2 linked regions of the Macaca fascicularis genome follow. The protein of the gene in region 1 purifies or fractionates together with the protein of each later gene. This does not show direct contact. Links are inferred from orthologs where the notes say so. Each region holds a gene or a part of one and is shown on either strand. Other genes may lie near its edges.

The links.
Region 2: the proteins of NDUFAF5 (region 1) and NDUFAF8 purify together in Homo sapiens (affinity purification with mass spectrometry; 3 studies listed by BioGRID and IntAct, counting the BioPlex papers as one, with this or other methods). This does not show direct contact. The link is inferred for Macaca fascicularis from reciprocal best matches to the Homo sapiens genes NDUFAF5 and NDUFAF8.

Annotation. Positions count from the first base shown.
Region 1 is NC_088384.1:73,561,768-73,565,578, reverse strand, and holds part of NDUFAF5 (arginine-hydroxylase NDUFAF5, mitochondrial), read left to right. Parts: intron 1-199; coding exon 200-239; intron 240-3,218; coding exon 3,219-3,416; intron 3,417-3,811. UniProt on the Homo sapiens protein: Arginine hydroxylase that mediates hydroxylation of 'Arg-111' of NDUFS7 and is involved in the assembly of mitochondrial NADH:ubiquinone oxidoreductase complex (complex I, MT-ND1) at early stages. May also have methyltransferase activity.
Region 2 is NC_088390.1:87,662,337-87,666,247, forward strand, and holds NDUFAF8 (NADH dehydrogenase [ubiquinone] 1 alpha subcomplex assembly factor 8), read left to right. Parts: upstream 1-1,430; 5' UTR 1,431-1,434; coding exon 1,435-1,518; intron 1,519-1,638; coding exon 1,639-1,749; intron 1,750-3,391; coding exon 3,392-3,421; 3' UTR 3,422-3,672; downstream 3,673-3,911. Other genes in the region: AP-4 complex accessory subunit tepsin, read right to left, coding at 1,072-1,119. UniProt on the Homo sapiens protein: Involved in the assembly of mitochondrial NADH:ubiquinone oxidoreductase complex (complex I, MT-ND1). Required to stabilize NDUFAF5.

The sequences.
Region 1 (3,811 bases):
AATTTTCTGGTGTGACACAAAGAAGGTTTCCCCTAGGAATATTTGTAATTTTAAAACTTGTATGAAAACAATCAGTGGATTTTGATATGCAGTTTTAAACTTCAAAATTAACACCTTTTTATGGGTTATCATTAACCTGGTGATAATTTTATTAATTGTGCCAATTAAGCTAAAACAAATCTGTATTCTCATATTTTAGTTTGCACTGGGTGAATGACCTTCCTAGAGCACTTGAGCAGGTAAGAAAACTTACGTTCATTCAACTATCTTGTGTTATTTTCTTTATTGTTGGAAACCTACAGGTGTTTCCATTTTCACAAACTATTTACTTGTAGGTCTGACAGTTGGGAAAGGAATCAGTGAAATCACCTGGTGCCATTTGGCGTATTAGTAGTACATTGGGCAACTCTCCTTTCCCTGAGAATTTAAGAAATCTAATTGTAGAGATAAGTTTTAAATATGAACAGGCTAGAAACTGTGCAAAATAATATTGATATCATAAGACATTCTCTGTGTGGATTCCTTCTTGTTTCTTATAGTTTAATTGCCTATAAACTTTTTGTGAGTAGGAACTTACTTATTTATATTTGTATTTTCCCAATGCCTTATACTCAGAGAGTACTAGGTAAATTTTTATTAATTCACACGTATCAATAGACAGGTGAGAGGCAGGTAAAAAGTATGTGTTCAAAGGAGAGAACAAGATCACTGTGGCTTGACGTGGCCTAGAAAAGCTTCAAGAGGAAAGTACTTGAGCAGGGCCTTAGAGGGTGGGTGAAATTTGGATTGGGAAGGCATTCTAAGAAGGGAGAATCGCAGGATAGGTGGAGAGGCACAAGAGCCTCATCAGCATTAAGGAACCAAAAGGAAACCTGTTTGGGGGACTAGTATGGTTCTGGGAAATGAAATGTGATATATTGGGACAGTATTTAGGAGGACTTGAGTGTCAGGTTGAGGAATTTGGAGTTTATGCAATTCAGAGCCACTGGAGCACTTTGAAGAGGAAAATGACATCATGACAAAGCTGGTGGGCAAAATAATAATGGCCATATCTGAATGCGTATAATTTTCCAGTTTCCATTTGCTGTGCTCTGTTTTATATTTGTGTTAAATAGCTCTGCAAGATATATTTGTTTTGCTGATTAGAAAGTGATGCCTGTGCCGGATGCGGTGGCTCATGCCTGTAATCCCAGCACTTTGGGAGGCCGAGGCTGGTGGATCACCTGAGGTTAGGAATTCGAGATCAGACTGGCCAACATGGTGAAACTCCGCCTGTACTAAAAATACAAAAATTAGCCAGGCGTGGTGGCAGGTGCTTGTAATCCTAGCTACTTGGGAGGCTGAGGCAGGAGATTCTCTTGAACCCGGGAGGCAGAGGTTGCAGTGAGCTAAGATCACACCATTGCACTCCAGCTTAGGCGACAGAGTGAGACTCTGTCTCAAAAACAAACAAACAAACAAACGAAAAACTGATGCCTGGAGCAGTTGGTTAAATTGAAGGGAGACTATTTCAGTGGTCCAAGGAGGAGATAAACTAAATCTAGGTGGTAATGGTAGGAGTTAAAAGGAAGAGTATTTAGGACTCTACAAAGAAAGAATCAAGTTTAGTGGCTGATTAGATCTGAAGATCAAACGGGGGAGGCAAAGCTCACTTTCAGGTTTTGAGTCTGGATTAGTAAAAGTAGGAGAAAGAATGTTGATGGTCAGATAAAGGGAATAGAAGGTGGCAATAGAAATATGGCAGTTGGACAGGGGAATTGATTTGATAAATAGGTGTTTTCCTTGTGGTGGTTGGAGGGAGCAGGGCCGATAAGTATGCTGAGAGACAAATGTCCAGGGAATAGGCAGTTGAAGATGATTTTAGACTTTAAGAAGATGGCCAAGCTGAAGTTAGAGATTGGAAAGTGGTCATTGTGAAATCATGGAAGTTGATAAGCCGTTTGACGGAGAGTGGGGGCTACAGACTTCTGAGGACTAAGTCTTAGGTGTTTGGTTTAGTAGAGTTTGATGACAAGAAGAGGAAGCAACACTAAAGGTGAAGAAGGGAAGGAACCATAGCCTTTACAAATTATTAATACTGCTTTTAATAGCTTCATGATATATTAAATATACATTTAAGACAGTGCTTTTATTAGAAGAGCCTACTGTGATTTGGATTCTGGTTTACTTCAGAATCTACCTTTTCCTGTAAGGGTCCTCATTGCTGAGAATAGTCATTCAAAGTAGTTACAGCTTGTAGTCTGAGAGTGAGCAAAATCTGTGGTACTGGAATTCACTCTGGCCATTATTTTCCTTAAGCTACCAATTAGAACTTGGTTTTGTTTTAAAGCTGGAAAATAAATTAATTACTTCTCTTTAAAGAAAACTAATACGTTTCTAGGTTAATGCTGTGAATCATAATGAGTTCTCTGTAGCTTATTCTGCATAATAAGGCACCCCAACTTGATGGCTTAAAACAACAACTGTGTAGCCCACGATTTTGTGGGTTGGCAGTTGGGGCTGGATTTGGTTAGGAAATCTGGGTCTGGCTTAGCTCGTCCATGTGTCTGTGATCAGCTGCCAGATTGTCTGGGAGCTAGCTGGTTTGGAGGGCCTCGGTGTGCACAGCTGGCTGATCTCAGCTCCACATCCTCCTCCTCCGCTAGGCTAGCTCAGGCTTGTTCACACATTGTGGCTGGGCTGGGCTCCAAGAGAGCAGGTGGAAGCATGCAACACATTTGAGACCTAGACTTGGAACTGGCACACTGTCACTTCCACTGCATTCTTTTGGCCAAAGCAAGTCACAAGTCCAGCCAAGATTCAAGGGGAGGGGAAATAGACTCCCTATCTTGATGAAAGTTGTTAGAAAATGACAGTTCAGAGGCCATAGATACAGGGAGGTTTGTGATTTTTGCAGCCTACCCCAATTAAAGATTTTTTTCTCTTTCAGCATTTTTCTGATTATAAAACTAAGTTGTACCTATTAGAAAACTTGAAAACATACAACATATTTTTATAGGCATTAATATTAGTGAATGTATAGTTGTCTTTCCAAGTATATTATGCATCATGATTTTCTGACAGTTGGTTGCATTAGAATGTTATTTGTTAAATTCTGTGATTATTAATTTGGCATAATAGGAATGGTTGTCATAAAATGTTGATTTAGACACTATATATTTTTTAACATTTATATATGTAAAAATTTGAATCATTTTGTTGTCTTGTATTTATTACAGATTCATTATATTTTAAAACCAGATGGAGTGTTTATCGGTGCAATGTTTGGAGGCGACACACTCTATGAACTTCGGTGTTCCTTACAGTTAGCGGAAACAGAAAGGGAAGGAGGATTTTCTCCACACATTTCTCCTTTCACTGCTGTCAATGACCTGGGACATCTGCTTGGGAGAGCTGGCTTTAATACTCTGACTGTGGTAACTATCAAGTTTGATTAACCCATTACTTACACAGTTCAGAAGTAACTTATTTTCATTTTAAAGATAGAAAACTGTATGTGTTCATGGTTTTATGGCACTCTTTCTTTCCCCCTTTTTTTTCTTTTTTTTAAGGGAAAAGCCCTGATTGACAATGCTTAGTTTGTATAACACATCTTAATTGACACGAGGTAGGAATGTATAATTTTTTACTGTCTGTTACCTTAAAAAGTAGCTCAAAAAATGTATCACAGATAACAAGACAAATTTCTAAACATACAACTCCGTCAGAATCTTCAAATCCAGAATTAGGTGTAAAAAGGGGCTTAGAGTATTCCAGATGATAGGAAGAAAAGGGCATAAGTAGGGGAACCTGTAGTATTACCACCACCAAC
Region 2 (3,911 bases), on another chromosome or scaffold:
CGCTCAGCCTGACTGGCTCCATCGCTCCCCAAGAACCGACCGATGTCGTGTGTTTTATGTTCGCTAACAGCAGATGGACTTATTGGTTTCATGCTGACTTACTGGCACAAAGATGTAGAGTTTATAGGGATGAAAACTGGAACCACCCATTTTTGCATTATTCAGTTTCAGGACACAACAGAGTTCAAGAGTATTTAAGAGGACAAGCATGGGACCGACCACGTGAGGTGCTGAAGCCTTTCAGTTGGCAGCGCGGAGATCTAGTGACAACACACGCAAACGTGGACCTGAAGTGTTTCCCGAGGCTGTGGACACACATCACTGACACTATTTGCCCACCAAGCCCTAAGGGGAGCTAGACAGGTTTGCAGGTGACAGCTGACAACGGCAGAACGCAGCACACAACGACTCTGTCCAAACCTTGCACTGAGAGCTTTGACCAACCCTAGCGTGGCTTCTGGCAGCCCAAGGCCGCGCCCTGGGCCCACTCAGCCCCCTCTGAGGTTCAGCCTAGGAAAGCTGAGGGCTGACAAAAGAGGGCGGTTTGCTCAGGACGACACCTGGGAACTGGCCCGGCCTCTCCTTCTCAGAGCGTTTACTAAGAGGGGCTTACAACGGTGTGTCCTTCCCTGTCCCTTCGAAATGTCTGTGTTCTCTGCAACCCAGGGGTGCCTCTCCAGGACCGGAGTCCTCTGAAACGCCACCGTTAGGGAGGACGGCGGGCGGCCAGCCCACCTGGGCGCCGGCAGCACGGACACAGCGGCTCCACGTCCACTGGGTCCGCCGCTCCTTCCCTCCTGTCGGAGCCCACTGAATGCTGGCGGAGGCCTGTTCGTTCCCCCAGGGTCTGGCTGTACCCATCGCCCTTGCGCTCGGTGGGTCCGGCTTGGGAGGCCCCGGGACGGCGCGGCGGGCGGGCAGCTCAGGGGCGTCGGCGCGGGCGAAGGGGCCGGCAGCAGCTACCCGGCGCGGAGACGCAAGGTCAACGGCTCAAGCCCGGGGCGAGTCCGGGGAACGCGGCGCTCGAGAGAAGCCGTGGGGCCGGGGCCCGGGCGGACCGCCCTCACTCACCCGGTGTAGAAAGCTCAGGCGGTCCCGTAGCGGCGGCGCGGCAGCCATGATCCAAGTCCCCTCCCGGTCTGCCCCGCTTCCGCCAGGCCCGGGCTCTCCAATCACTGCGCGGGTCTGGCTCCGCCGGCCAATCCCTCGCGGCGGGGCGGGCCCTGAGGTTGGCTTCGTAAACAATTTGAGCCTAGGCCAATCCGAAGTCCCAGGGCACAGACAGACTAGGACAAGAGCCAATTGCAGGGGCTCTGGCCAATTAAGAAGCGCAGGAAAGGTTATGGGCGGAAGCGCCGACCTATCAAGCTGTTTGACACCGGAAGAGGCTGGACCTAAGATGACGGCGCCCAGGGGCTCTGGGAACAGCCACTCATGTCTGTGAACGGAGCTGTGTGGGGCCGCGTGCGAAGCCGCCTCCGCGCCTTCCCCGAGCGGCTGGCCGCCTGCGGGGCCGAGGTGAGGAGCCGCGGGCAGGCCAGTGCTGCTGGACAGGAGGAGCAGCGCGGGGAGGTGACTGGGAGGGAGGGCGGTGACGGGATCAAGGGACCCCATGACCCGCGCCCATCCCCTCCGCAGGCCGCGGCGTACGGCAGGTGCGTGCAGGCCTCCACGGCCCCAGGCGGCAGCCTAAGCAAGGACCTCTGCGCGCGGGAGTTCGAGGCCCTGCGGAGCTGCTTCGCCGCCGCGGTAGGTGGGCGCGGGCCCCTCCTAGCCCTTCCCCTCCAAGATCCAGGGGGCCCCAGCTTTCCTTTGCTTTCCCGTTGGTTCAAGGTTTGAGCGCCTGCCGCGTGCTTTAGACGCCGGCTGACCAAACCACCGAGCCACGGACGAGCCCGCGAAACCTCGGCCGTCCCGGGTTTGTCCCTGCGTGTTTGTAAACCGGGACTGGCACCAACCTCAGAAAGGATGGGAAATGTGTGCACTAAAGCGCCTGGTAAAACGCGTAAGCTTTCGTGTTAGCACTGCCGCCGAGGGGTGTCAGGCCAGGATCGACCCAACACAGGACTCCCAGAAAGTGCCCAGCGCCTTCCGGGTCTTCATCTCCCTTCACTTGCAGCCCGCCCCGTGCAGCTGCAGTGGATTCCTTCAGCGCCTGTCCTGCCGGGCACCCCCAGCCACCCTCACAACTGGCACCATAGGGCTTCAAGTCATTCTGAGGCTGGTTCCCTAAGTGTCAGCCTCTCTGGGTACCACCTCAGTGTATCTGGGGTAGGCCGTGATGCCAGTGCTGACTCTTGTTTACTGGGAGCTATTAATCCGCAGATTTGGACCAGAGAAAGGGTAGTTGAACAAGAGCTCCATGGCCTTCATAGCTACCCGGCCCTAGCAGCCTTGGATCCAGGGGTGGGTAACTCATCAGAAGTTGCACTTTTTGCCGGGTATGGTGGCGCATGCCTGTAATCCTACCACTTTGGGAGGCTGAGGCGGGTGAATTGCTTCAGCCTAGAAGTTTGAGACCAGCCTGGGCAACATACGGAGACCCTGTCTCTACAAAAAAAAAAAAAAAAAAAAAATTAGCCGGGCCTGGTGATGTAGTCCCAGCTACTTGGGAGGCTGAGGTGGAAGATCACTTGAACCTGGGAGGTGAAGGTTGTAGTGAGCCGAGATTGCGCCACCGTACTCCAGCCTGGGCGACAAAGCGAGACTGCATCTCAAAAAAAAAAAAAAAAACAGCCGGGCGCGGTGGCTCAAGCCTGTAATCCCAGCACTTTGGGAGGCTGAGACGGGCGGATCACAAGGTCAGGAGATCGAGACCATCCTGGCTAACACGGTGAAACCCCGTCTCTACTAAAAAATACAAAAAGCTAGCCGGGCGAGGTGGCGGGCGCCTGTAGTCCCAGCTACTCGGGAGGCTGAGAAAGGAGAATGGCGTAAACCCGGGAGGCGGAGCTTGCAGTGAGCTGAGATCCGGCCACTGCACTCCAGCCTGGGCGACAGAGCGAGACTCCGTCTCAAAAAAAAAAAAAAAAAAAAAAAAAAAAAAAAAAAAAAAAAAAAAAAAAAAAAAAAAAAAAAAAAAAAAAACTTGGGGGGCTCCTGCTTTCCCTTTATGAGAGCTTGGGTCCCAGTGTGGCATCTGGTGGGGGCTCAGAGGAGGGTGCAGCAGTGAGTTCCATGACAGTGTCATGAGGCCCTTGTCCCATGGACAAGTGACACAGAGAACTGGCCCATGGGGCCCAGGCTCCAACCAGTCGAGCCCCCACCACATGCCAGCACCACGTTCTCTGTAAGGTATTTGCGTAGAACACGACATTTAGTGTGGTAGCTTTCTTTTGAGCCATATCTAACTTGGAAGCAAGCCATTCAGACAAAACACTTTGTCTTGCAGGCCAAGAAGACGCTGGAGCGAGGCTGTTAGGAGGGACTCTGAGCTTCACACCTGACTGCTGCCGTGGGTGCGGTGCCCTCGTCCTCATGGCCCCTGGTGGCACACATTGAATGCCTAGGGCAGAAAGGAAGTGGGAATGGCGAAGATGTGACGTTCCTGGGTGTTAGATCCTGTATTTCTTCTTCTTAACAAGTTGAGGCGTGGGTAGAGCAGGAATTGGTTTTCCAGTGTTGTGTCTGTAAATCTGAGTTCGAATAAGATACAATGGAAGCCACGGTAAAGACCCCGTTAAGTCCTGCAGCCTGGGGCTTACTGTGTGCAGACTGTGACATGTGGGTCTTGGCCTCTCCGAGGTGGAATGGGGCCCAAAGCCTTTCCCCCAAAACTGGAAGGGCTGGGACTTGGGGACACCCTGCCTCAAGGTCCCCATTTTAAAACATTCTCGGCCGGGCGCGGTGACTCAAGCCTGTAATCCCAGCACTTTGGGAGGCCGAGACGGGCAGATCACAAGGTCAGGAGA